Elephas maximus indicus: one gene and its partners. The protein of the gene in region 4 purifies or fractionates together with the protein of the main gene of each other region. This does not show direct contact. Links are inferred from orthologs where the notes say so. Each region holds a gene or a part of one and is shown on either strand. Other genes may lie near its edges. The genes, in order: CDC45, RAD52, PRPF19 and RPA2.

Region 1 (6,891 bases), on a different chromosome or scaffold from region 4:
ACTCTTCCCTCCTTTCTCCACATCTGACCTGTCATTAGGCCCTGCTAGCATGGACACAGAGAAGCAGCGGTACTGGGTGGAGAAGCGGTTCTGGAAGACCCGGGGAATTGGGTGGTCAAACATATTGAAGGAGAACTGGAAGGAGAAAAGAGATGTCAGTGTCAGAACAGAACAAAGGTACATTTCTTCATGTCAAATGCCAAAACACATCAGGGTAATTAATGCTGCTAAATGTCAAAGAACAAAAAACATACTAAAATCTTGATTAACCCTTGTTGGTTGTGTTGAGTTGACTCTGACTCATGGTGACCCCATGTGTATCAGAGTGGATCTGTGCTCCGTAGGATTTTCAAATGTTGATAGTTCAGAAGTGCCAGGCCTTTCTTCCAAGGAAGGTACCTCTGGGTAGACTTAAACTGCCAACCTTTCAGTTAGCAGCTGAGCACTTTACTGTTGGCACCACCGAAGGACTCCTCATTAACCCTAATACTGGGGAAGCGGTGCATTCTGACAGAAGCACTTCCCAGGTAGAAGGTTTGTCGCAAATCTCTGTGGTTCGACCTTGTCTGCCACCCTCAGTCTTGTCCCTCTTGTCTCCACCATTCTTAGAAAGTATGGTCTTACTAAAATACAAAACTGGCCATGTCAGTTCTTTCCTTAACCTCTTTCACCCTGCAGCCCTCCTAAGTATACAGGCAGGCCTCTCAGTGGCTCACAGAGATCTGCTTTCTGGTAAACCACAATCTCCTAGACCTGCCATACTCCTACCCAGGCTACTTCCTCTGTCTGGAGGACTTTCCAATTTTCATTAACTTAACACTTACTAACTTAAAGGCACATATTTACTGTGTGACTCTACTATCTGCCAGGCTCTGTTCTAAGCATCAAGGAAACATCAGTGAACAAAACAGATAAAATCTCTGCCTTGGTGGAGCTGAATCCAAAACAGGGGACAGAAGCAAAAATAAACATGTATGTCATGTGGTAATAAATACCCTGAAGACAAAAAAGCAGGGTAAGGAGATCAAGGACACCTGGGGATGCTATTTTATATAGGTGGTTAGGAAAGGACCCTGCATAGAGACCTCAATGCCATGAGAGGAAGCCAAGTAGAAAACTAGGAAAGGCACTGCAGGCAGCAGGTGCCCAGTGCATCTTTTCACCTGGCTCCCCATAACCACCCTTTCCTTTCTCCAGGAAGCGTTCCCTACTCTACCAAGAATTAGTGCTAGTGCCCTTCAAATGTGCTCTCACTGCACAGAGTAGGTACACATACTGTGCTACTTCCTCACGTTTAAATAACTAAAGCCAAGGCAGGGTACCATTAAAAAAGGAAGATCCAAGCTCATAAAGACTGTGGACTAAGATGTGGCTTAGAAAACACACTACACATCCACTTGGGGTCTTCTCAAAGTACCGAAACTACTGTGACATTTCAAAAAGAATAAAATCTCACAATAGACAAACACTTCTTGACTTGATTTCAAATGTACATTAAGCAGAGGGGAAAACCACCTAATGATAATTAATTACAAAATAGTTTACTAAAAAAAAAAGTTGCCATCAAGTTGATTCTGACTCAGAGCAACCCTACAGGACAGAGTAGAGCTGCCCCACAGGGTTTCCAAGGAGCGGCTACTGGATCCAAAGTGCCAACCTCCTTTTCATTAGCAGCCAGCCAATCTCCTAACCACTGTTCCACCAGGGCTCTAGTTTACTAGCAATTCCAAAATCAGCAAGCTGAAGCAGCTGTATTCCTATAGGCAAAACAGTACCCTCTTGCTTAAAATCTCACATGGTTCTTCACACTCTAGAACTCTCACACAGTAGTTTTCAAACTTTTGTCTCTTTCTTCTCTCAAACAACACAACTCTACTCAACAAAATCTTAGCCAAAGGCATAACAAGTAAAACAGAGTGTCTGGATGAAGAAAGGGAGAAAAGTGGGGCCTCCTCTGACTACCTCACACTACACCACTCCATCTAAGCTGTACTCTTTGCAATATAAAAGAGGGAAACGTGCACAGAGTTTGCAACACCCTTAATAATGTGCCTTCAATACACCCATGAACCTGATCTTCTGTCCCTCCCTATTTCTTACTTTGTAACTTCAATGCTTTGCATACTGCCTGGTACATATCAAGTATTCTATAAGTCTGTTAAGTGGATGAACTTGGGAACAGAAATACGATTCAACAATGACACACTTTTACTAAAATAAGCAGGTGATACTGAGGCAATGCTGTACAACGGTTGTAATGAGGCTGAACATTGCAGCCAGCCCGACTGGGCTTCAAATCTCCACTGCTAACTTTTGTGACCTCCAGTAAGCGATCTTCCTCATCTTTAAACCTTAGTTTTCTCATGGTTGGAAACCCTGGTGGCGTAGTGGTTAAGTGCTACGGCTGCTAACCAAAGGGTCCGCAGTTCGTAATCCACCAGGCGCTCCTTGGAAACTCTATGGGGCAGTTCTACTCTCTGTCCCATAGGGTCGCTATGAGTCCGCACTGGGTTTGGTTTCCTCATGGTTAAAATGGTAATAATCCTTGTCTCCAAGGGGGTTGTCAGGACTAAACGGGATAAAGTGTGATTAGGAACGATAAGTACAAAAGAAAAGGTGTGTAACAAAAAAAAGCAGACATTAGCTACTATTGTTATCATTACTAAACATAACGCCGCTCTACGTAAGAAGGTACCAACACAACCGAGGCATGAACCCGGAGGCACAAAGTTCCCGAACTAGGGCAAGAGCAGGGAGTCCCGCCCAGGGAGATGCCCCTTATGTATTTTCCGTGGGGAGCCCTTGATTCTGCTTCCCACTTCCAAAAACCTTTCAACCAATTTAGTGTTTATGAACACCTGTTACGTGCCTAACACTTGGGCACCAATGGGTGGACACAAACGTAGAAGGTTTAAGGAGCCCACCGTCTAAGAGGAAAATGCGAGCCATGCCCTGGACAAGCGGTGATAAGCAGACGCCGTTTTGGGCAAGGCGCGACTAGTGCCCGATGCGCCCAGGACCAGAGGCGGCCGGGTCCAGGCCGGGTGACTCGGCATCTCCGCTGTCATCTCGCCCGGTCCCGCCCGCCCGCCCGTCTGCTCCCCCCCCGGGCTAGGCCTGGTCGCCCTCACCATAACTGACACCTCCGCCTCGCAGGCGCCGCTTCTTCCAGGGAATGTAACGTGGTGAGACCGCCGACCACGCTCCCTCTCACAGCCTACACCGCCGCTGCGGCCACCACCTCCACAGCCGATCCGACGCCCCGTAGGCTCACCGGAAGTGACGGACCTGGAACCTGGGCAGGGGAGTGCTGAGACCAGGGGTCGGCTGCAAAAGGGAAAAAGCCAGACAAAGAGTCTGGAGTCTAGAATTTCCCAGGAATAAATTCTATAGTATCCTTTCTTAGCAGGATTCCCACTCTAGAGATAATTTTTCTTATTATTTTAAATTACGTCTTGATAGTACTCCCCTCCAGACGAACTTAGTAGGACCCATTCCTTTTCTTGACTACACTACCCAGAATGCAATTAGATCTTCCGGCCTTTGCGTCAGCCATCGAAATCTCGGGCGGAAGTGAACTACACATGCCCCCTTTAAAGTGGAGCGAGAGCCTATTGAAAATGTAAAGCTGACGATCTCATTCTACGTATAACTAAATTTAACTTATGGAGGGAAGGTTTTTTGTCCTGGAGTTCCCAGTGAGAGATAACGGTATTTTCTTCCCGAAGTAATAATGTCCACCGAGACGCGGGTTTCTGGGTCAACGGAAGTCACAGTTGAAAGAGGCAACAGTGTTTGCGTCCTGCCGAGTTTTGACGGCTTTTTCCACCGGAAAGGCGGTGCTCTAGTGCCCGCCCTCAATATGCCCCAATCAGAAAGGAGGAAGGGCTGAGACCGAGCAGCTATTGATTGGCAGCCCCTGGGCCAATCGGAAAAGCCCTGCTTTGGCGGGAGTCTTGATCGCCGCTGGGGCTCACTGTATCCCAGATCTTATGCTAGGCGTCCGGCCACCGTGGACATGTTCCTGTCCGATTTCCGCAAGGAGTTCTACGAGCTGGTCCAGAGTCAGGTGAGCCCCAGTCTGGACCCCTGGCCTACGTCTTGTCGGGAACAGTGGGTGAGCAGGAGTGGCCGCTACTCGGGTCTCCAAACTCAGCCTGCCTTTTCTTCCCCTGACAGAGGGTCCTTCTCTTTGTGGCCTCGGACGTGGACGCTCTGTGCGCCTGCAAGATCCTTCAGGTGAGTGCCGCGGACCCTCGGACGGAGGGGCCACGGCAAGAGGTGAGCGGAATAGAGAGGACCTCCCCCAACCCCCAGATGAGGACAGAGGCTGAGGTAGGGGCTTGAGCAGTCACAACTGAAGACTGAGGTCACTGCCCTGACTGGATGGTGAGGGGTGGGTTAGAGGAGGATTAGGCAAAAGGCAGGATGACTAGTTAATATTTTTTGCAGTAACCCAGGCAAATATGGTTGCATTTGGGTGAAACGTAAGATTTAGACTTCTGGTGGCCTATGAAATGTGGGAGTTTGAGGGAGACAAATCTGTGACAGCTGAGGGCATGGTGGGGTCATAAGTGATGCTGGAAATACAGGACCTCTGGTCGATTGAAAAATATCATTAGTTCAGTCTTGTTTTGAACATAGTGGGACATTTACATTGAGCTTTGGTCAGGTTCTTAGGTCAGGATCTTATCAGAAGACCTGGAAGTAAGATTGGATTTTCCTCCAATGTATTACTTTGAAAATTTTCAAACATTCATTAGAGTTGACACAGTGAACACTCGTATCCTTACCACCAAGTTTCTCCCGTTAACATTTTACTAACCTTGCTTTGGAGTCTCTGGTTGGTGCAAACCACTGAACGTACAGATTGTAACCAAAAGGTTGGCAGTTCAAGTTCACCCAGAAGAGTTTCGGAAAAAAGGCCCTGGTGACCTATTTCCAAAAATCTAGCCACCGAAAACCCTATGGTGCACAGTTCTACTCTGATGCATGTGGGGTTGCCATGAGTCGGAAGCTACTTGATGGCAACTGGTTTTAACCTTGCTTAATCATCTGTCTTCCATCTCTCCACCAGCTATCTTTTTTTTTTTTTTTTCTCTTGGTACATTTTCAAAGTAAATTGCAGACATTCTAAATAGCAGGGTTTCAAAACACCTTTTCCTCAGGCCTTGTTCCAGTGTGACCATGTGCAGTACACCCTGGTTCCAGTTTCTGGGTGGCAAGAACTTGAAACTGCATTTCTTGAGCATAAAGAGCAGGTATGTAAGATGCGTTTTGGAATAATTAGCCTTCATTACTCCATAGTAATTTCTTAACCCTTAGCATTCTTTCTAATTCCATAATAGATTGAGTGTATATGTAAGTGTAAACTTTATTAAGCAAAGTGGAAGAGAAAAACATAATATGTATACTAGTAACTTACCCTTAAGTTGTGGAGGCAAAATTGACCCCCCCCCCCAAAAAAGAAAAGGACGGTAAATATGGACAGCAGAAATTTTATTGTTAGGAACATGGAATTTAATAGTGTTTAATTTGGCCTAACTAAAACTATTTTACGATATACTGCTATCTTATATTATCTGTCCAAATAAATGTATCCCAGGTTCCAATTTGAAATCCAGGAACATATCTTCCTCCTCAGAGTCCTGGTGGTGCAGTGGTTAAGAACTCGGCTGGTAACCAAAAGGTTGGCAGTTCAAACCCATACTGCTCCTTCGGAAACTCTATGGGGCAGTTCTACTCTGTCCTATAGGGCGGCTGTGAGTCAGAATCAACTTGATGGCAACAGGTATCTTCATTCTCCATAATTTAAACAGTAGAGGCCAGGACTGCTTCTACCTCTGCATGGGGCCACAAGGAGAGATGTGACATCTTGGGCCACACAGGGAAGGGCTGGGGTGTGGAAGAAGGACCATGGTGTCCCTGGCCACAGGTGAGACTGCTCTGGCAGAGATAAATCCTAGCCTGGAGTTCCTGTCATCATGTGAGGGAACTTTGCCAGTGTGATACTCGTAAGAAAATGATTTCTATAATGATAGGGTGTCATACCAAAAAAACCAAACCAAACCCACTGCTGTGAAGTTGATTCCTACTCACAGCAACTCCATAGGGTTTATATCTTAGGCTGGGTTCTCTAGAGAAGCAAAACCAGTAAAGCATGTAAATACGTAGAGATTTATATCAAGGAAATGGCCCACGTGGTTGTAGAAGCTAGAACATTCCAAGTCTTTGGGTCACACTGGAGGCTTCTCCTGATTCACGTAGCCACAGGGCCTGACAAACCCAAGGTAGGTTAGGTCAGAGAGCAGGGCTCTTGCTCACGGGCTGAGAAGACCAGTGAATCCCAAGATTGACAGGCGAGACAGCAGGTAAGCTGCTAGCCCAGGTCCCAAGAACCAGAGGTCAGACAAACAGGGGCCAGCCACAGGATCCAGAGCAAGCAAAAATCAGCAAGACTTGCCAGAAAATCCACCTATATTGGATGCAGGCCACACCCCAAGGCAACTCCCTTTCAACTGATTGGCTACTCACAGCAGATCCCATCATGGAGGTGATCCCATTATATCAGATCTCACATGGAAGTGATCACGTCATCATAAGATTGCCAAACTACATCATAACTGCCAAACCATTGAGAATGATGACCCAGCCAAGTTGACGCACAACCTTAACAATCATAGTTTCCAAGGCTGTAAATCTTTATGGAAGCAGACTGCCACATATTTCTCCCACAGACCTTTTGGTTAGCAGTCAGGTGCTTTCACCACTGTACCACTAGGGTGTAATAGAAGACTTAAATTTAGGTGCCCAAGATTATTAAAAATTTAAACCTCTCCCTGGCGAGGCAGGAGCCCTGGTGGCCCAACCATTAAGTGCTCGGCTGCTAAC
Region 2 (8,003 bases), on a different chromosome or scaffold from region 4:
TCTTTACCGTATATGTTCACGATATTTCCCCTTTTCCTTATTTATTTTTAAACTTTTACTTTTTACTTCTTTGTTAAGTTAGCCTCCCGACTCTTGGCAACCCCACCCACAACAGGATCAGACCGTGATCCTTACGGTTTTCATTGGCTTATTTTTCAGACCCCCACGTGTCTGTCAGTTTGTCGTACTGTGGGGGCTTGAGTGTTGCTGTGATGCTGGAAGCTAGGCCACCGGTATTCAGATACCAGCAGGGTCACCCATGGAGGACAGGTTTCAGCTGAGCTTCCAGACTAAGACAGACTAGGAAGAAGGACCCGGCAGTCTACTTCTGAAAAGCATTAGCCAGTGAAAACCTTATGAATAGCAGCGGAACTTTGTCTGATATAGTGCTGGAAGATGAGCCCCCCAGGTAGGAAGGCACTCAAAAGATGAGTGGGGAAGACCTGCCTCCTCAAAGTAGAGTCGGCCTTAATGACGTGGATGGAGTAAAGCTTTCGGGACCTTCATTTGCTGATGTGGCATGACTCAAAATGAGAAGAAACAGCTGCAAACATCCATTAATAATCGGAACCTGGAATGTACGAAGTATGAATCTAGGAAAGTTGGAAATCATCAAAAATGAAATGGAATGCATAAACATCAATATCCTAGGCATTAATGAGCTGAAATGGACTGCTATTGGCCATTTTGAATCAGACAATCATACAGTCTACTATGCTGGGAATGACAACTTGAAGAGGAATGGTGTTGCATTCATCATCAAAAAGAACGTTTCAAGATGTATCCTGAAGTACAATGCTGTCAGTGATAGGATAATATCCATATGCCTACAAGGAAGACCAGTTAATACGGCTATTATTCAAATTTACGCACCAACCACTAGAGCCAAAGATGAATAGATTTTTATCAGTTGCTCCAGTCTGAAATTGATCAAACATGTAATCAAGATGCATTGATAATTACTGGCGATTGGAATGCAAAAGTTGGAAACAAAGAAGAAGGATCAGCAGTTGGAAAGTATGGTCTAGGTGATAGAAACAACACTGGAGGTCAAATGATAGAATTTTGCAAGACCAACGACTTCTTCATTGCAAATACCTTCTTTCACCAACATAAATGGCGACTATACACATGGACCTCGCCAGACGGAACGCACAGAAATCAAATTGACTACATCTGTGGAAAGAGACGATGGAAAAGCTCAATATCATCAGTCAGAACAAGGCCAGGGGCCGACATTGGAGCAGACCATCAATTGCTCATATGCAAGTTCAAGCTGAAACTGAAGAAAATCAGAGTAAGTCCACTAGAGCCAAAATATGACCTTGAGTATATCCCACCTGAATTTAGAGACCATCTGAAGAACAGATTTGACGCATTGGACACTAGTGACCGAAGACCAGATGAATTGTGGAATGACATCAAGGACATCATCCACGAAGAAAGCAAGAGGTCATTGAAAAGACAGGAAAGAAAGAAAAGACCAAGATGGATGTCAGAGGAGACTCTGAAATTTGCTCTCGAATGTCGAGCAGCTAAAGCAAAAGGAAGAATTGATGAAGTAAAAGAACTGAAGATTTCAAAGGGCGTCTCGAGAAGACAAAGTATTATAATGATATGTGCAAAGGGCTGGAGATGGAAAACCAAAAAGGGAAGAACACGCTCGGCATTTCTCAAGCTGAAAGAACTGAAGATAAAATTCAAGCCCCGAGCTGCAATAGTGAAGGATTCTATGGGGAAAATATTCAATGACGCAGGAAGCATCAAAAGAAGATGGAAGGAATACACAGAGTCATCATACCAAAAAGAATTAGTCGATGTTCAACCATTTCAAGAGGTGGCATATCATCAGGAACCGATGGTACTGAAGGAAGAAGTCCAAGCTGCTCTGAAGGTATTGGCAAAAAACAAGGCTCCAGGAATTGATGGAATATCCATTGAGATGTTTCAACAAACAGATGTAGCACTGGAGATGCTCACTCATCTATGCCAAGAAATATGGAAGATGGCTTCCTGGCCAACTGACTGGAAGAGATCCATATTTATGCCTATTCCCAAGAAAGGTGATCCAACCGAATGGGGAAATTATAGAACAATATCATTAATATCACAAGCAAGCAAAATTTTACTGAAGATCATTCAAAAACGGCTGCAGCAGTATATCGACAGGGAACTGCCAGAAATTCAGGCCGCTTTCGGAAGAGGACGTGGAACCAGGGATATCATTGCTGATGTCAGATGGATCCTGGCTGAAAGCAGAGAATACCAGAAGGATGTTTACCTGTGTTTTATTGACTATGCAAAGGCATTCGACTGTGTGGATCATAATAAACTATGGATAACACTGCGAAGAATGGGAATTCCAGAACACTTAATTGTGCTCTTGAGGAACCTTTACATAGATCAAGAGGCGGTTGTTCGTTCAGAACAAGGGGATACTGATTGGTTGAAAGTCAGCAAAGGTGTGCGTCAGGGTTGTATTCTTTCACCATACCTATTTAATCTGTATGCTGAGCAAATAATATGAGAAGATGGAGTATATGAAGAAGAACGGGGCATTGGGATTGGAGGAAGACTCATTAACAACTTGCGTTATGCAGATGACACAACCTTGCTTGCTGAAAAGTGAAGAGGGTTTGAAGCACTTACTACTGAAGATCAAAGACCACAGCCTTCAGCTTGGATTGCACCTCAACATAAGGAAAATAAAAATCCTCACAACTGGACCAATGAGTAACATCGCGATAAACGGAGAAAAGACTGAAGTTGTCAAAGATTTCATTTTACTTGGATCCACAATCAACAGCCATGGAAGTGGCAGTCAAGAAATCAAAAGACGCATTGCATTGGGTAAATCTGCTACAAAGGACCTCTTTAAAGTGTTGAAAAGCAAAGATGTCACCTTGAAGACTAAGGTGCGCTTGCCCCAAGCCATGGTATTTTCAATCACGTCATATGCATGTGAAAGCTGGACAATGAATAAGGAAGATGGAAGAAGAATTGACGCCTTTGAATTGTGGTGTTGGCGAAGAATATTGAATATACCATGGACTGCCAAAAGAACGAACAAATCTGTCTTAGAAGTACAATCAGAATGCCCCTTAGAGGCAAGGATGGCGAGACTGCGTCTTACATACTTTGGACATGTTGTCAGGAGGGATAAGTCCCCAGACAAGGACATCATGCTTGGCAGAGTACAGGGTCAGCAGAAAAGAGGAAGATCCTCAAGGAGGTGGATTGACACAGTGGCTGCAACAATGAGCTCAAGCATAGCAACGATTGTAAGGATGGCTCAGGACCGGGCAGTGTTTCGTTCTGTTGTGCATAGGGTTGCTACGAGTCGGAACCGACTCGACGGCACGTAACAACGACAACAACAATTTTTCAGAAGCAGATGGTCAGGACTTTCTTCCTAGGCTGTCTTAGCCTAGAAGCTCTGCTGATACCTGTTCAGCATCTCAGTAACATGAAAGCCTCTACTGACAGGTGAGTGGTACCTGCCTGAGATGCATTGCTAAGGATGAAACCTAGATCTCCTGCAAGGAAGGCAAGATTTCTACCACTGAACCACTATTGTCCTCAGTTTTTACTTACAGATGTTAAAAAAAATTTTTTTTTTTTAAACATAGGCAGTTCCATTTAACTATTGTTTCCTTTATGACTTAATTCTCAACTTTAATACTTAGAAAACCCTTCCTCATTCTGAGGCCAGATATTCATCTATATATTTTTTCACTTTGTTTTTTGCTTGTGTGTGTGTATTTAACACTTCACCCTTGAATTCAACTGGAATTTATTTTTTTATATTTTGAAAAGGAATTTAACTCCCCTACCCCCCGTTTTTTTTTTTTTTACCCCCAGTTAACTAATTGTCCCAGATCCATTAAAAAACAAAACATTCTTTCTTCACTGATTTGAAATGTCACCTTTATCAAATAATAGAGTATGCATATGCACTGGAACTGTTTCTAGGCTTTTTACTCAGCTTCCAGTGGTCTAACTGGGTAGAGCGGTCACACAGAGTATGACTTGCTCTGAGATTTTGCTATCAGTTGTCAGTTCTGACTCATGGTGACCCCATGTGTGTCCGAGTAGACTTGTGCTCCATAGTTTTCAACGCTGTGATCTTTCAGAAGCAGATCGCCAGGCCTGTCTTCCCAGGTGCCTCTGGCTGGGTTCAACTACCAACCAGTGCTTAACCCTTTGTGCCATCCAGGGAACCAGATACTGAACAGTCTGGTTAACAGGGGCTTACTGTAATGACCAATTTGAAAACATAAAAGAATGATTTTGTTGGAGTTTTTTAGTAATTAATTTCGGGTTGTAATGACTGAAGTTTTCGGTCAGTTTTTCAGCATTGCTAATAGAATGTGTTATCATCACCAAGTTCCAAGAGATATACTAAAGAAAGTCACCTCTCCTCCAAGTCACAAGTTTATTTTCCTCCCGTTCTTACTAACTTAAGCAGAAGCTACCGGGTGATGACTGGATGTGCACGGCAGTTTCAGAAAAGGAAGGCTTAGTGAAAAAGCATGTCCACATTGCCACCGTTCGCTGTGTCAGCCTGGGGTGGGCGCTGTGAGGGTCTCTGATAACCATAATTAGTAAGACTTAAAAGCATTATTCTCCCTTCCCGAAAGATCCCAAATGTGCACAGATAAGTACTGGGAGGTCCCTCTCCCGCCCCGCCCTGCCCCTGTATCTGATTGGGTACGTGAGGTAGTGTAGGAAGGCGCAGGAAAAGCAGGCCCAAAGCACCTCAGACTAAGCTGAATCCTTTAGGTGAACTCGCAGGGCCCCTCCAGGGGGCAGCGGAGATCCAGACAGCCGGAGACGGAGACCTGAGCTCAGGAGCGTGGGAGGCGGTGGGGGCGGGACGTAGAGCTCCTGGCGCTTCCGGCTTACTTTACAGCATCCGACAGTTTACTTTGCGGCTCTTCCCTCTTCCGACTTGGTTTACGGCTCCTGCTGTACTGTTCTCCCCCCCGCCCCCCCGCCCCCGTTTGTTTTTGTTTTTTGCGTAAGGGCCAGCTCTCGGTTTGGACCTTCTTCCCAGGGTTTCCTTGCACTTCCTTCCCAGTCTCCTTTGCGCGACCTCTATCTAAGCTCCATTCTCTTGCATTTAGCCTGCACCGAGCTCCCTGCGTGCACCACGCGCTGGCCGAGGCGCGTAAGTCGGGAGGGAGAACCGGCCATGTTGGGGTGGTTCCGTCTGGGGGTTGTGTGGAGCATGGGAGTGCTCACATTCGGAGGGGAGAACGTAGGGTGGCGGTTGGTCGTCTTGAAGATCCCAGGATAGTGACCATGGATCCAGAGGCCTGGACTAAATAATTAATGCAGTAAAGGATCAGGGCTTACTGAGAGTTTGGTTAAAATAAAAAACTGAGAGTTTCGTTAGGAGGGATAAAAAAAACCCAGTGCCGTCGAGTCGCGTATTGTTAATTGTGGCTGTTCCCTGCACCGAGCAAGACACTCTAAATGCTGCTTGTTGACAGAAGTGAAGGGTGCAGAAGTTTATCAGTAACTGGGTGTGGTTGCGGCTGAGGTTGGGAAGGAATTAGGAATTTAAAAGGAATTTGACGCCCAGCTTAGCCGCGTGTTCAGCCATCCTAGAAGTTTTATTTTTTAAAGAATTGAGATACAACTCATATACCATTATAGCCATCCTTTTTAAGTGTGCAATTTAGTGTTTTTTAGTGTCTTTAAAAGGTGCGCTACCATCATTACCATCTAATTGTAGAACATTTTCATCATCCCAAAAAGAAAGTCACTCACACATACCGTCAGCCCCTTATAACCGCAAATCTGATGTCTGTCTCTACGGATTTGCCTCCTCTGGACATTTCGCATAAATGGAATCATAGAATATGTGGCCTTTTGTGCCTGGCTTCTTTCACTTAGCATAATGAGAAGGTTCATTCATGTCATACGTAGCATATGTCAGAACTTTATCCTTTTTTTATGATTCTCCATCGGTTAATGGACGTTTGGGTTGTTTCCATTTTTTGGCTTGCTAGACTTTTTAAGATGTTTCTTCACAGAACTTGCAGTCTAAAGCGTGAACTTTTGAAAACTAAATTTTCAGAAAATGTAATTGAGTCACATTTCACTGCCTTCAAATCTGGTATCTTTTAGGCAAGTGTGCCATTTAAAAGTCTTCTATTTCAGTTCAGCACCTATCAGACTATGTTTCGTAGTGGTGACAAGCAGAGGAATGTTTGTGTGCAGTTCTCAGAGATCACAGCTGCCTGTCATCTTGTGACATAAACCGGGTGTAGGTGGAGATTAAAAACCAAACCAGTTCCTGTCCAGTTGATTCCAACTCATAGCGACCCTATAGGACAGAGTAGAACTGCCCCATAGGGTTTCCAAGGCTGTAAACTTTATGGAAGCAGACTGCCACATCTTTCTTCTGTTTAGTGCATACAAAGTGTAAATGAGTTCCGTATGGGAGACAGGTTTTACCTAAAAAAAGGTAATTAATTATTGAAGGGCAGAAAGCCTAGTGTGGATATTTTTCAGTCTTTTAACATTTCCTACTCAAGACATTCTTTTTTTTTTAAATTGTACATTAGTTGAAGGTTTACAGAACAAATTAGCTTCTCATTAAACAGTACACATACCGTTTTATGACATTGGTTAACAACCCCATGACATATCAACATTCTCCCTTCTTGACCTTGGGCTCCCTATTACCAGCTTTCCTGTCCCCTCCTGCCTTCTAGTCCTTGCCCCTGGGCTGTTGTGCCCCTTTAGTCTTGTTTGTTTTATGGCTGAAGGGTGAACATCAAGAGTGACTTCATTGCTGAGCTAAAAGGGTATCCGGGGGGCATACACTTGGGGTTTCTCCAGTCAAGACATTCATTTTTAATAGCTTACTGGCAATTTTGAAGTGGAGAGAGGCTAAAATGCTTTTCATACTATATACTGGCTGGGGACTGTGCTAAGTGCTGAGGATTCATTGATTAATGTATGTGCTCCCTTCTCAAATGGCTGAGTGTAGTAGAGAAGTAAATGATTGTAGTGTGATATATGCTTTTGAGTATGTCTAAAACACTGTGGGAGAACAGGGTTAATGCTACTTAGGGTGTATGTTGTTAGTTGCCATTGAGTCGGCTAGAATATAGTGAGGTACATAAGGCTTCAAAAAGGAGATGACATTTTAAGATTTATTTCCTTCTTTTTAAAAGTATTCAACTCTGTTGCTAAACATTTTAACTATCACAAACATTATAGCAGCATGTACATAAATGAAAATTAAAGAAAGATACTTGATATACAATCCTGCTCATATCAGGCTGTTCTTGATTCTCACAACTAGAATCACACTAATCACGGAGTCTTGTCTGTTCTGCCCCCTGTAGTACATATCCAGGGTCCATCTCTTTCTGTCATCTGCACTTCCATTGTCTTAGCTGAGCCCTTATTCCTGTCTGGACTGTTGTAATATAGACTAATAGAGAGCTCCTAATCGAGCTCTCCCTCAATTATTCACTGTTGACTAAACTTTCTGAGGCATAAATATAATCTTATCATTCTTAGCCTAAAAATTTCCATTGGTCTTCCATGGCTTACAAAATAAAGTTCAAGCTTTTTAGGGTAGCTTACATTAACCCTTGTGATCATGTCCTGTCCTGGCTTTGATAAAAATGAGAGATTATAAGACAAAAGAAGAAAATTTCCTTACATATATGCTTCTTTTCTGTCTTACTCCTCTCCTTCTCCACACATGTTTAGAAATGCTTTTAGGTGATAAGGAAATAGATAAGAATAGAAACACTTTGCCAGTTTTGTTTGTTTTACCTTCTTAATATTTCTCGAATTCATCCACTTCTTGCTCACAGCCACTATTATCTTGGGAAAATACCTGTGAGAAGAATTGCTGGGTCATATGGCAGACACATGGAGCCCTGATGGCGTAGTGGTTAAGAGATTGGCTGCTGACCAAAAAGTCAGCAGTTTGAATCCACCACCACTGCTTGGAAACCCTATGGGGCAGTTCT
Region 3 (7,687 bases), on a different chromosome or scaffold from region 4:
ACAATAACCGCTGCTATTTATCATTGCCCTCATTGTGTCAGGCCCTGTGCCAGATGGTCCCTCAAGATGCATTCACTCAGATTTACAGAACACCTACTATGTATCAGGTGCTGCCCTCAGTGCTGGGGATACACTGATGAATAAAACAAGACCCTGATGTCATGAGGTTTATACTCTATAATTGTATCGTAACCCTCCCAAAATCCTGAAAGATAAAATACTAAAATCTCCACCATACAGTCACGAAAACCAGGACTCAGAGTGTGGGCAACTTGCTGGAGGTCACATGGCTAGTAAGCAATGAAGCTAAGTTTGAAACTCAGACCTGTGTGACTTTTACACCCAGGTGCCTCCTCCCATATCATTCTGCCCCTCGAAAAAGATGACGATGCTCCAGCCTTCCCACTCCCTAGTCCCAGTCCAGGGATCCATCTCTTCAAGTGGGGAAGACATTGGTTCCCTCTGGGGAACTCACCCACTCATCCTGCAGAGCTTTCAGAATGGCCGGGATGCTGGTGGCTGAGGGAGGCTTGGGCCGGATTGGGTGAGCAACTGCCGAGAGGGAAAGTGGTATGAAGAACCCTAACCCAGCAGCCTCTTACCGTTCCCCACCTCTTTCCCCCTCAGCCTGAATTAACAGACCACCATCGCCTCTTCCAATGCAAAGGCACCACCTCCCACCCTCTCAGCCTCTGAACTGAGGCAGCTCTGGCCTGAGGCTGACCAGTGGGCACCTTTGATGTCGATCAGCTGCTCCTCAGACAGAGGCTGGTTGTTGATGGGGTCTGTGCCGTTCTCCGCAATGTACTTCTCAATGAGCCTCCGCTCATAGACATGATTGGAGACAGGGGACACACACGGGTGCTCTGGCACTTCATTGGAGACTGCAGGGAAAAGGCAGGCAGTGAGCGTGGGGTCAAAGGGAAGCCTGGACCAAAGAAACCCCTCACCCGCTACTGGCCCCAATAAGGCCACATGTCCTCACACTGAACCAAAAGGAAACAAGACCTGTGTCCCCAAGCCAGTTTTGTACTGTCCCCAGAATGCTTTCCAGTGACATAAGGAGCTTCTCCATCAGCAGTCTCCTGATAGTCAGGTTTTCGACAAATATTCACCGCAGAGCTACAACATGCCAGGCACCCTAGGGAGTAGTCAATAATCCCTGCCCATCTCATTTTTAAACAAAACTGGTGGTTGTTGTCGTGGCGGTGTGCCATCAAGTTGATTCCGATTCATAGTAACCCTACAGGACAGAGAAGAACTGCCCCATAGGGCAGTTTCCAAGACTGTAATTTTTATGGAAGCAGACTGCCACAGAACAGCTGGTGGGATTGAACAGCCAATCTTTCAATTAGTAGTTGAGCGCTTAACCACTGTGCCACCAAGGCTCCTTACAAAAATAGCTAGGCATCCATTATACTCCAGGAGATGGAGACATGTATGAAGCCACTCAAATCCCTGCTGTCCATCTCAGTCTAGAGCCCTAGGTAGGTTATCGAAGAAGATACAAAGCAACGAGACAAGTACTATAATAATAAAAAACATTTATGTGGGGTTTGCTAGGTGCCATGCATGATTCTGAACATTTTACATAATCTCATCATCATTTACACACCTGCCCTGAGTAGACGGTGTGCCCTAGAGAAGAGGGATTACAGCTGGTCTCTGACTCCCAGTAGGTGCACATCCCAAAGACGAAGGAATGAATGCATGGGAGGAAGGACGGTGCTGGAGCACACAGAACAGAGCTCTTTCAAGGGTCAAAGAAAACACTGGATGTGAAAATACTTTGCAATTTCTTCAATGTAATTATAATTCCCTCCGTGTAAGGTATTCCTTTTCCTGCCCATTTCCCTTTTTACTACCCTTCTTTGGATTTAAGGGAGAGGTTCAGGAAAGAGAGGATGGCTTAAAGGTAGGAAGCAAAGAGAGAAAGGGGTGGGAAACTGGTAACCTGATGAAAAGATGAGAAAAGAAAATGGGAGCATGACACAATAAAACACCAAAAGGAAAGGCAGTATAAGGCATGGAAAAGCATGGATTTGGGGTCGGGGAACCTGACTGTCACCCCGCACTGCCACTTACTAGCTGTGGAACCTTAGCTAACACTCATCCTGGGCTTCCCTTCCTCACCTGTAAAGCTAGGGTCTTTATTTCTGCTTCGGGAAATTCTTGTGAGGATAAAATGAGATCACAGACTTGGAAGCACTGCTGGAAACCATGAAGGGCCTCATAAATAAGCACTGTTTTTATTCGTGCTACAGTGTGAGAGAGACCTGGCTTCCAGCCCTGTCTCTGCCTCTAACTCACTGTGTGACCTTCGCAAACTCCAGAAGCTCCGACTGCCCAAGCGCGACCTCAGACAGCATCCAGTGCAAAGTCCTCATTTTGAAGATGGGGAAACTAAGGCCCAGAGAGGGGTCGATCACAAAGCTAATCGGAGGCGAATTCTGAACGAGCCCTCGGCTCCCCTGGCTCCTACGCTAGAGAGGCTTCCCCTGCACCAACTCCCTCTGTCCAAGCCTCTGTAAAACCAAATGGTTGGCCCCAAGGAGCCCTGAGACGACAAATCTGAGGCGCTGTGTAAACTGCGAAGCTCTGCGCAAATGGACCCCGCGCGGAGGACGGAAGGTTCCCGGTGCTGACAGGCCGCCGCTCTATCGCCCGGGAGCCCCGTTCCCGCCTCCTCCAGAAGCCGGTGTCTCAGCAGCTGGCGCATTCTCCCGCTCCGCTCTCCAGCCTCCTGCAACCCACGATCGGCCGCAGGCGCTACTCACTTGAGCAGATCAGAGACATGGCGCCGTCACTGCGCTCCGAGGCGCCTCACACCGGGCTCCGTGACTGGCTTCGGAGCCGCCGCGGGCCACTTCCGGTTCCCCGCTGCTTCCGGACGCTCCGCAGCGAGCGGGGAGCACCCCGCCGAGCTCTGGTAGCGTAGTGCTTCACGTGGGTCTGGGGCAGGTGGCGCGCCGCAGCCTTCAGCAACTAACGGAAACTGCCCCTTCCCAGAATGCAACCGGGCAGGAAAGGGCCCGCCACAGAACACTCGGCTATTTCCGGATTAACTCGTCTCCTTCCGTAAAGTGCCCCAGGGAAAAGGCGGCGTAAAACTACATTTCCCATGATGCAGTGGGACCGTTACATCCAATGTGTTCCTGCACTCCTTTTGAGACGCGGTAGTGTCTGTGTTTTCCGAATTTTAATGTGCACAAGAATCTCTTAACGAGCTTATTAAAATGCAGATTTCTAGGGTCTGTCCTAGAGAGTCTGCATTTTAATTTAGCGCCCAATAAAATTGAGGCTGGTGTTTCTCGGGCCGCCCTTTGAGAAAATACATGCTGGGGGAATCCGATGAAAATGCAGATGAGTAGGGGAACTAACAATGATCAAAAAACGGTTTTAGTACTACTTCTGTTACCAATTTGCTCTGTGACCTTAGGCAAGTCACTAGTTTCTCTGCCGGTTTTCTACATGACTTCTAGGTTGCTTCCAGCTCAGGTAGTGTAAGATTCTTCGTTGACCTCTGTAAGATAAGATATACTCAGGAAAGATGTAGAGAACGTGCGCCGACTCGTGTGGGCTACGAGGGAAGACAGCAGGACGGGTAGATGTGGTCACTGAAGTCTTCCCTGAAAAGGCGTGAATGAGCTGGGCTTTGACAAACGGGCAATATTCAGAGAAAGGAGAAAGAAGTGAAGGGTATTCTAGAAGGAACAGCATGAGCAAAGACGGAGAGAAGAACAAAAGTTGCAGATATAGGGCAGTAGGGTATAGCGGCCAAATGCATGGACTCTGAAGCCAGACTGCTGAAATCCCAACTCCATCCAGCTAGTATGCTGTGTGAACTTCTCTAAGTTGTTTCCTCATTTGTAAAATCGGGGAAGTGAAAACAAGGGTAGAACTAAGTTATAGAGTTTTTTTGTGATGAGTTAACAAACAGCACTTTGAACTAACCCTGGAACATAGTAAGTACAGTATACATATTCATGTTTGTCATTATCTCAAAAGCCAGCAAGATTGCCCAAGCTCCCCTGAACTGATAAAATAGCTTCCTAGTAGCATCTGGGATCTTAAAAGCTTACCAGCTGCCATCTAAACCCATTGCTAATCTAAGATACAATTATTAGTCTCTTCCTGTCTGGAACAAAAGAGAGTGAAGAAAACCAAAGGCTCAAGGAAGCAATTAGTCCAAAGGACTAACGGACAACATGAACCACAACTTACACGACCCTGAGACCAGGAGAACTGGATGGTGCCCAGCTACCACTACCAACCACTCTGACTGGGATCACAACAGAGAGAGGGTCCTGGACAGAGCCGGAGAAAAATGTAGAACAAAAAATCAAAATTCACAGAAAAGACCAGACTTACTGGTCTGACAAGAGACTGGAGGCACCCTTCTGACCTGAAACTGAAGCCATCCCTGGAGATCACCTTCCAGCCAAGCAATAGACAAGCCCATAAAATAAACAATAGTATCTGAGAGGAATGTGCTCCATAGAACAATCCATTATATGAGATCAAAGGGCAATATTTGCCCTAAAGCAGAGATGAGAAGGCAGAAAGGGATAGAAAATCAGGATGAAAGGTATCGGGGAAACCAGGGTGGAAATGGGGAGAGTGCTGACACGTTGTGGGAAATAAAACTAAGGCCATAAAACACTTTATGTACGAACCAGCAGATGGGAATCTAATTTACTCTGTAAACTTTCACCCTAATGCACAATTAAAAAAAAAAAAAAAACTTCCTGATTGACCTTGTTTCCAGACTGGCCTCCCTCTAATCCACTTTCCACAAAGCAGCCAGTGATCTACTTTCAGTGAAAAATCTATTTATGCTACTCCTCAGGCATTTAATTCGTTCAACATATATTGATTGGGGTGTGTCAAGCTCTGTTCTGATCATTGCAGATACAAATGAATGAACAAAATGACAAGGTTCCTGCTCTTATGGCTGTTTAATTTTATGGAGAGCATGCAGAAAATCAACACCTAAGAAGATAATTCCAGAGAGTGGTTGTTGTTCTTGGTTGCCATCGAGTTGATTCCGTCTCATGGCGACCCCATGTGTTACAGAGTAGAGCTGCTCCATAGGGGTTTTTTTGTTTGTTTGTTTTGCTGTAATCTTAACAGAAACAGATCACCAGGTCTATCTTCTGCAGCACCACTGGGTGGGTTTGAACTGCCAATCTTTAGGTTAGCAGTGGAGTGCGAACCATTTGCACCACCTGGGGACCTGGAGAGTGGTAAGCACCATGAATAAAACAAATCAGAATAAGGTGAATAGTAGCTGCTGGGCATCGGAGGGAGGACTTCTTTATGCAGGATATTTAGGGAGGGTGTCTCTAAGGGGGTGACATTTTTACTGAGACCCGAATGAGGGAAAGCAGTCAGTCCCAAGACCAGGAATGAGTGACTCTGGCAGAAGAAACTTGCTCCCAAGCCCTGTGCCATCTGGCCCAGGCTGACCTCCACAGTCTCTCCAGCCACACTGGTCTTTTAAATCCTCAAATTTACCCACCCTTGCTTAGAACACTTTCCTCAAATCCTTCCCTTCTTCCCCTCCCCCCAATGCCCTCCAATGTAAACTTCAGTCCCACCTTAGATGTCACTTCCTCAGGAGGCCTTTTCTTTAATATCAGGCCAAGGTTTAGCCCCCATAAACCAGTTGCCAGTGAGTCAATTGTGACTCATGGAGACCCCATGTGTATCAGAGTAGAACTGTTTTCCATAAGGTTATCAATAGCTATGATCTTTTGGAAGTAGATTGCCAGGCCTTTCTTCTGAGGTGCCTCTGGATGGATTTGAACCACCAACCTTTCTGTTAGTAGCTGAGTGCTTAATTGTTTGCACCACCCGGGGCTCCTTTAGTCCCCATAAACCCAACCCAACCCATTGCTGTCAAGTCGATTCCAACTCATAGCGACCCTATACGACAGAGTAGAACTGCCCCATAGAGTTTCCAAGGAGTGCCTAGTGGACTCAAACTGACAACCTTTTGGTTAGTAGCTGTAGCACTTAACCACTATCCCACCGGGGTTTCCTTATCAGCCTCTAATTCTCCTCTGAGCCACTTGAGATAACTATAATCATTTAACTATTTATAATTATCTGTCTGATGTCTGGATTCTCCATAGCCTGTAAGATCTGTGATGACAGGAACCAGGGTGTCCTGTTCTCTGTTGTTCCCTGAGTCTAACAGTGCCTGGCACATAGTAGGCTTGGCACATAGCAGGGGCTTCATAAATACTATCGGTTGAATGACAGGCTGCCTGGCGGGCCAGGCGTCTCAAGTACTTAGATTTGGTAGGAAATAAAGTGGGTTAGTAAGTGGTTAGACTTGTGGGCTTGGCAGCAGAACAACATCTGATTGCATTTGAGCTACCAAGTGACCTAAAGATAACCACATTTCCAGAAGTTTCCTCTGAAAGGCACTTACTAGATGGGTTGGAAGGGGACAAACTGGAGAGGAAAACACATTCATTCCTTTAACGGACAAATCTTTATTGAGCACCCACTGTGTGCCAGGCAAGAGACATCCCTACACTGGGGAGCTTATGGCTGTGACATCAGAACACAGGAAAAAAGGAGTCCCTTCAAAGCTTTCAGAGCCCTGGTGGTACAGTGGTTAAAGTGCTCTGCTGCTAACCAAAAGGTTGGCAGTTTGAACCCACCAGCTGCTCCACGGGAGAAAGATGTGGCAGTCTGCTTCCATAAAGATTACAGCCTTGGAAACCCTATGGAGCAGTTTCACCCTGTCCTATAAGGTCAGAATGAGTCAGAATCTATTCAACGGCAACGGGTTTTGACTATACTATATGGCAATGGGAACGGGGTTATATGCCAAAGGGCTTTTTCAAGGCTTTTGGGTTTCAAAAGCCAGCCCCATGGGAAATAGAAGGAATTCAGGGAATAGACAATTGACTTAAATATCATGGGTAAGTGCTTGATCTCCACACCACCACCACCCACTTTGTCCTCCCCACAAAGGAGACAGGTATTCCCTAGTCTGAAAACGGAGCTTTAGAGGGAAAGAGAGAGACTCATAGCTGTTGGTAGGTCCCTAAGAAAGGAATCCTGATCCCTGTTCTTCAGGCCAAGGCTGTTGCTGCTCCTTGGAAAAGGTAAGTTCACATTGGCCAATAACCCAGAAGAAGGCTGGGCTCCATTTCCCAGGTAGACTCAGTGGCAACCTGTGTAGACAAATGAGAGGACGATGGAAGCCTCAGGAATTGACAACTGGATGCACACCTAGGGTCATATGAGCCTCCCCCTCCCCTTTGGCCATATGCTAATCTTCCAAAACGTGTGCACAGCATGAAAATCGGGGATGGGAAAAGTTCTAAACTGTCTGAGATTATTTCCACTCTACCCCAATGGAAAAGAGAGTTGAAAAGAAATTAATTTTTCCTAGGAAGAAAGAAGTTACATTTCTTGCACAGGAAAATCTGTGACCTGAGATTTAGGTAGTCCTACAAAGCAGCTGAAAGAACCGAAGAAAAAAGTCAAGCCTCGAGTTGCAATATTGAAGGATTCTATGGGGAAAATATTGAATGAAGCAGGAAGCATCAAAAGAAGATGGAAAGAATACACAGTCACTGTACCAAAAAAAACTGATTGATGTTCAACCATTTCAGGAGGTAGCATATGATCAAGAACTAATGTTATTAAAGGAAGAAGTTCAAGC
Region 4 (6,852 bases):
CTGCAGTTTAAAATTTTAAGGATATTTAGTTGAGTCTGTAAACAATGTTCACATACTCAAAAGGTTGGTTTCAGGTTTTATTGGCTAAAAGAATTCAATAAATTGAACATTAAACAAATAGTTGTGGATGTTCTTCTGTACATATAAGAGCCTCTCCATCAGTAATAGAGAATTCTATCAGTATTAGCCAATTCATAATGACCATTACTGGTAGAAATAATCAGGACCATATAAAACAGAAAATGACAAAAACTCCACCCAGTAACATTTGTCTTAGCCCCCCCCCACCCAAAAAAAGAAAGGAAAAAATCACATCTTATGTATAATGTTGGAAACTGCAAAAAGTCACCCTGAATCAAATTGTACTTGATAGATAATGCGCACCCATAAAACTACAGTACCAGATGTGTAAAATTGGGCATGGATCAAATTTAAACGATGAATTAAACCCTCATTGTAAAATTCGCCCAGCAAAGAATTGATCCACATACAAATAATTGTAAAAAAAGAAAAGTGGAAAAAAAATTAGAAATCACTAAATTGAACTGTATAGAAAACTGAACAGAGAATTAAGTCTCAATGAAAAATCCATCAATGTCAGAACAATTCTGATGAAAATATTTGTATTCATAAAGCGGAGGCAAAATGACCTCGGGGATTATAACTGTAGATCAAAAACATTCAGAGAGAATGCATATTGAGCACCTAGCACAGATATAATGGATGTACCTGGCACGTGGTATGTACTCAATAAACACCAGATTGTTTTAAAAGATAATTTCTCTTCTACTTACTCTTGCTGCAATTTCCCTAGCAGTCCCAAGTCTGGGAATAATGAACTATGCCCCTACCTGGAAGAGGGTAATTAAAGAAATCCCTTCTATGTGACAGGAAGACTCCCAATTAAAACCAAACCTTGAGAGATGAAATTACTACACACACACCAAAAAAAGGGAAACACTATTTTAATGCTGATTCAGACCTGAACCCTCTATTCAACTTACCTGCTCATGGAGGTGTTGAAAAGATGTGAAATCATATTTTGATGGTTATTATGCTCTAAGTTAAGACATTCTGGCTTCACTTTGGATTTTATTTTTAAGCGTATACTCTCCTCAGCTGAATTTATAACTAGTTGAACCCGAAATGAGGTAGATTAACCTAACATCTTAAATTTCCCAGAATAGTCTTAATTCATAACATTTTATCCTAATATTCCCATAAATATGCTTTTACTTGTCATACTATGTATGTTCTAATCACTTTAGGATTAATATAATAATGTCATCTCGTTTCTGCCTCAGACTTCTGTCTTTGGCTATATCTTGTTTAATTCTCAGTGATGGTTTGGAAGCTTACAGAATTTATATAAGAAAGAGATGACACACAAGCAACATCTGGCTCCCAAGTATCTTTTGTTTGGCCCACACGGTCTTGAGACAGAATTAGGCTGAAGCAGACTGGTTGGGCCCCCAGCACATAGACTGGGAAAAGGTCGAACAGGACAGACAGTAGAATAAACAACCTGACCTACTGGCACTGGTGCAACCATAACCCACCGCCTGGAGATTAGAACGGAACGCACAGGCCCTGTGGGGCAGAATGTTTCAGCTGCGGGGTGACACGAACTGAAATGTTCTAGGATGTTGCAAATAAATTGTTGATGTAGAGCTTGCAGGTCTCCACAGGTGCAGAGCACATGCAAAAGAAGTTAAGAGTGACCACTGTTTGGCCTTCCCGAGCCCGCAGAAGCGGGCGATGTGACAAAGAAAACCAGTGCGCCTGTATCACATCCCATAATGAGTCATGTCAAGGGGAACCAAAGGACTTCCATCTTGAAGAAGTGCCACATGTGCACCTGCATTTACCTAACCCAACCCTTCCTCAGAAATCTCCGCCCTTTCCCCCGAAAACCTCATGAATAAACATCAATACCCCTCCTTGTCTAAACCCTTAAATAGTTGGCTCTTAGGCAAATCGGGGAGACAGTCTCTCCGAAGGTTCTAGCCCATACTGTTTCCTTTTGCTAGCTGCCGGCAAAATTAATTTGCTTGTGTGACTCCAGGCTGCTTCAAATAGTCTTATTGGGCGTCACGGATCTGGTTGGGTTCAACTGAGATAGGGGCCCTGGGTAACAGTCTTTTTTAAATGATTAATTTGCAAAAGCTTACGGTTCAAAAATTTTCACATAAAAATCCAGATATCTGGCTTCTACTAAAAAGCTGGCAACACTGGGCTCATACTCTTTATATATCAGTAACGATTTATCATTATGCTTAGGTGGTTATTCGTCTTACTCTGGTGAAAAAAAGTGAAAATTTAGTTCCTCTGTTATCCAGTCCATTACATTTACGGTTTTACTGACTGTCCCCAGTGGTCATTTAAGCGTGTGACCCAGTTCTGAGATGTTCTAGGAGGTATAGTAATTGCACTGGTTGATGGAATCAGACTTGCTGGCTTTGGATGCAGACTCAGTTTTCTCTTCTGTAAAATGGGGGTGTCCTAGGGTAAAATTACCAGAAAGTGATAGTAAAGCAAAAAGAAAGGTTTTATTCAGCATATTTTTGAAGGCACAAAAGTGGAAAATGGGCATGCATGCTGCCAGAGCCATGTCTGCCCAAGTCCAAGGAATATTACAGAATCATCAGTATATATTAACATTATGAATGGATAAAATCGCTGAAAGCTTCATCTTTTCACATACTGGCTAAAAACTGCTAAATTATCATGATTCTACGTTTTAAATTGTTTTTCTTAATAATCATTGGTAGGGGTTTCAGTGATGACAGTCAGAAGAGTCTTCATTGGTCCAACAACTCCTACTATTTACTAAACCCTAATAAAAAGACATAAGAGTGGAACATGTGTGGGTCTTTAGTGCTGCGTGTATGTGAGAGTTTCCCTAAAAGACGTTTTCCAAGATTGTCCTAGCTATTGTTTTTATACCTCAGGGCCCAGTTGATGTGTCCTTAGGAGTCCAGCTCCAGCTAGGTTGAATTCTTTATGCTCAAGGACAGGAAATAACGGCTTCAATTTTATCTCCTAAATGAGGAGACAATAACACTACCTACCTTATAAAAAAAAGAAAAACCTTATAGGGTTGAGTTAATAAACGTAAAATGCTTAAGACAGTGCCTGCAATTTTATAAATGCCCAGGGACCATGTCTAGTATATTTACTGTTAAATCCCAGTGTCCAGCACAGAGCCTGGAACAGGAGGCATCAAATATTTTCAAGTAAATAAATGGAAAAAAAAAATCTAATAATCTAGTAGTGCTTAGAGCAAACCAGACATTGTCCACTGTCTATAGGAAGGGCACAATCATATTATTTGAAGAATACTGGAATATAAAATGGCTGTCTTTTGAGATGGATGTCGGGCCTGGATTTACACTGAGTTGGGGAAAGGGCATCATGGGGAAGAGGATGTAAGTGTCTTATGGCCTCGCTAGGAAGAATCACAAAAACAGAGTCGCTAAACAGGGACAGAACTTGGCTCCTTCTGGAGAAGAACAAACAATCCCACGAGGTGCTACAAGGCTACTACTGTGAGTCCCTGGGGTGTGCAAATACGCGGGTTATGAGCGCAGAAGCAAGAATTTCACCACAGCGCTTTAGGTTAGGGCGTCAAAATGGTGACAGTTTGGCGGGAACAGGAAGGCGCCCAGCAAAGGAAGTGACGTAAATGTCACTCATTTGGCAGGGGTGCGGTTATGCGGCCTAGAATTTAGAACTATTATTTTGATTGGTTGTTTTCTTGGGCCCTCTTCCGGCTTTCCGCTTCCGTCTGCTAGGCCGGTCTCGCAGCTTCCGGCCCCTCAGGGAGCAGAGAGCGAGTTTTCAGACACAGGGCCAGAGAAGACAGGAAGAAGCGTAGGATTCGCGAGCTTTGATTGGCTGAAGGTAGAAGCGTCCTGGACGCTGATTGGCTCCGTCGTTCGCGGGAAGGAGTTTGTGGCGCCAGCGAAAAGTAGATACGCTGCTGCGACAACTGTAGGGCCCTGAGGTGCCCCGCCGACTCACTAGATTGGATCCTGACGGAGTCACTACCAAAATGTGGAATAGTAAATATGGGTGGGGCGGAGGAGACTGAGAATCGCGAGGAGGATTTAGCGGGACGGAGAGCCTGGGGACGGAGAGACATGGGGAGGGGGAAGGGGCAGGAACCGGAGAGGCGGGCGGGGGAGTTCGCGGGGCGGGGAAAGGTGCTGAGGAACATTCGGGAGACGGTGGGAGTGTTTGAGAGGGGTGAGGTTTGTAAGGACTTGTGGAATTTTCAGAGGCCTGGAAAGCGGCGCAGATACTGATAGTGTTGTTTGAAACAGGTGGATTTGAAAACTATGGCAGCTCCGCCTATGGTGGCGCCGGCGGCTACACACAGTCCCCGGGGGGCTTTGGGTCGCCCACACCTACTCAAGCTGAAAAGAAATCAGTAGGTTCAAAGGGTGTTTCGTTTTATTCTATCCTGTTCTAAAGCTCGTAACTCGTCTATGAGAGAAAATTTATGCGGCATATGAAGGGTATTAAATATGAACTGGTTCGGTAATTACCGGTTATTGCTCATGTTTTCTGTAATTAGGTGCTGTAAGTTTTAAAAATGAAATCTTCCCTAATTTTGCATCCATTGTTTCCTTGGCTTTGTTTTGAAATTTATCGAAATAGCCATGAATCCGTGGGAAAACTCTGAACTTGTGTTTAATGCATATTTTGCACTCTTCATGTATTCACGTAGCCAGGAGGTGAAACACGGAATAGGGGTGGGGGGAAGAACATGGGTTTTGAAGTCAAATAGACCTGTGTTTTCTTGCTCTGACACTTTACTTGGGAGTCAGTTTTGGACTTATTAAATGGGGTTGATAATATATGCCTCACAAGGTTGGGACTTGATATGTTATATTACATAGGAGCCCTGTTGGTGCAGTGGTTAAGAGCTAGGGCTGCTAGCCAAAGGGCAATTCGAATCCACCAGCCGCTCTTTGGAAACCCTATGGAGTAGTTCTCTTTCCTGTAGGGTCGATATGAGTCAAAATCAACTATGGCAACGGGTTTCGGTATTTTTTGTTTATATTTTTATATGTACTATTTCATATAATCCTTTTTGTTTACTCCATCGTACGGCAGAGGCTCAGGGAGGTGAAGGAACTACCCAAGGTTACAAAGCTAGTAAATAGCTAAAACCAGGACAGTGCACACATGATGCTGTGCAAATCCAAATCTGGTGGGCAGCCTTTTCTCTAATTGTAATTTTCTTTTTCCCAGGAAGACCAGAGGAGATTCCAGTCTTCTAGCTTTGTCTTCCTTGGGGTTGTGAAGGAGAAAACAGGTGGATAGATACTGGTTCTCGTCCTTTTATTTATCTCAGAATCCCTAGCTCAGACTGTGTATTAAGATAGCTTAGTCACAAGTTGGGGACTCAAACCCAGAGGTCATGTTTTTGAATCTAGTGCTTTTTCTACAGTAAATTAGATAAATGTGCCTGTCTGAAATATCCCCTGTTGAGTATGAACCTGTTATATTTGGTTGAACCAAACTAAGAGCCAGTATGGCAAAAACGTGGATTCAGAGCCAAACAGTCCTGCAGACCTATGTTCAAATCCTAGCTGCTAAGCCCTGGACACGTTACCACCTCTTCTGTAAAATATCTATTCTTCAAGTTGTTGAAATATATAATGTATATCAGTTGCTGTCAAGTATTTTTTCATAGTTGACAATGAACCACAGGCAACTCTGACAGTACGATATGAAACCACCATTTTTATAAGGTCTGCAGGACCGTCTGGCTCTGAATCCATGTTTTTGCCACCGTTACCATACTGGCTCTTAGTTTTCTTAATACTGAAGACGTGATGAGAATCTCAGCTGTGATAGGTGAAAACAGAAAATATAGTACATTATTTGTGAGAGAAAAATCCTGGGGCCTGTGTAGATTCTACGTTTGTGAATACTGATGTATCATAACTTCACCTGTGGATACAATAAAGTAAAATGGGAAAACATACTAGATTCCTTCACATCCTTTTGAAGGTTATTGCAGGTATGAGCAGTGAGGAGCAATAGTTAATAAAACTGCTAATGCTGAGTGCTTATGATGTTCCAGGCAATATTCTAAGTATATTACCATATTATTGCATTTAATTTTCCTGACTTTATCATTCCCAGTTGAACAGCTGAGGAAACTAATGTGCATATGAGTTAAGAAACATGTCCAAGAGCACACTACTCTTGAGTGGTTGTTGTTGACTGCATTCGGGTTGTAACCTTAACCCCCAAGCTTAGTCTCCTTCCTTCGTGACATAGCGGTTAGCTAGGCTTACTTCATACCAATTCCGGGTACTCATCGTTCAAAATTATGCTTCAGCAAAGTGAAACATTGCCAGCAGCATGAATCTTTAAGTCAAAGCTGGGACTGCTAAATCCATGAAGTCTATTATGTTCTGTCTTACAGTTATTAAGTTACTTTTTATTGATTTTGGAAAGGAAGGATTCTAATGTTTAATCTTCCGTGGCTTTTCTGCCTCATACATAGTCCCTCTGTGAGCCCTTAGACTAGAATGCCCGTCCTTTACCCACTGTTTTTCCACTATCAAAATTCTCATGCATCAAAGTCCAGCTCAAATGCTGGAGAGACTTTTTGAAATTCCCTAGGCAGAATTAGTGAGTTTTTCTGAGATGGCATAGCATGTGTAATTCTGTAGTATATCAAGATCAGGTTTGTTGTTTACATTTGTATCTTCCCTAAATTAGGAGTTACTCAAGGGCAAATTCTACCCCATCTTTATATTATTCGGTTTACCTTGGTAGGCAGAAATAAGAGTTTACAGTATTGCCAGGCTGTGGTAGGGTGTGATTTGA

Evidence for each region.
Region 1: the proteins of RPA2 (region 4) and CDC45 purify together in Homo sapiens (affinity purification with western blotting; 3 studies listed by BioGRID and IntAct, with this or other methods). This does not show direct contact. The link is inferred for Elephas maximus indicus from reciprocal best matches to the Homo sapiens genes RPA2 and CDC45.
Region 2: the proteins of RPA2 (region 4) and RAD52 purify together in Homo sapiens (affinity purification with western blotting; 3 studies listed by BioGRID and IntAct, with this or other methods). This does not show direct contact. The link is inferred for Elephas maximus indicus from reciprocal best matches to the Homo sapiens genes RPA2 and RAD52.
Region 3: the proteins of RPA2 (region 4) and PRPF19 purify together in Homo sapiens (affinity purification with western blotting; 4 studies listed by BioGRID, with this or other methods). This does not show direct contact. The link is inferred for Elephas maximus indicus from reciprocal best matches to the Homo sapiens genes RPA2 and PRPF19.

The regions. Positions count from the first base shown.
Region 1 is NC_064840.1:32,705,286-32,712,176, forward strand, and holds the start of CDC45 (cell division control protein 45 homolog), read left to right. Parts: upstream 1-3,887; 5' UTR 3,888-4,018; coding exon 4,019-4,069; intron 4,070-4,179; coding exon 4,180-4,239; intron 4,240-5,168; coding exon 5,169-5,261; intron 5,262-6,891. Other genes in the region: UFD1 (ubiquitin recognition factor in ER-associated degradation protein 1), read right to left, coding at 3-135, 3,132-3,134. UniProt on the Homo sapiens protein: Required for initiation of chromosomal DNA replication. Core component of CDC45-MCM-GINS (CMG) helicase, the molecular machine that unwinds template DNA during replication, and around which the replisome is built.
Region 2 is NC_064822.1:57,802,786-57,810,788, forward strand, and holds the start of RAD52 (DNA repair protein RAD52 homolog), read left to right. Parts: upstream 1-4,998; 5' UTR 4,999-5,170; intron 5,171-8,003. UniProt on the Homo sapiens protein: Involved in double-stranded break repair. Plays a central role in genetic recombination and DNA repair by promoting the annealing of complementary single-stranded DNA and by stimulation of the RAD51 recombinase.
Region 3 is NC_064825.1:124,020,334-124,028,020, forward strand, and holds the start of PRPF19 (pre-mRNA-processing factor 19), read right to left. Parts: upstream 3,012-7,687; 5' UTR 2,797-3,011; coding exon 2,778-2,796; intron 885-2,777; coding exon 735-884; intron 553-734; coding exon 476-552; intron 1-475. UniProt on the Homo sapiens protein: Ubiquitin-protein ligase which is a core component of several complexes mainly involved pre-mRNA splicing and DNA repair. Required for pre-mRNA splicing as component of the spliceosome.
Region 4 is NC_064821.1:68,320,084-68,326,935, reverse strand, and holds the start of RPA2 (replication protein A 32 kDa subunit), read left to right. Parts: upstream 1-3,839; 5' UTR 3,840-4,054; coding exon 4,055-4,064; intron 4,065-4,325; coding exon 4,326-4,432; intron 4,433-6,852. UniProt on the Homo sapiens protein: As part of the heterotrimeric replication protein A complex (RPA/RP-A), binds and stabilizes single-stranded DNA intermediates that form during DNA replication or upon DNA stress.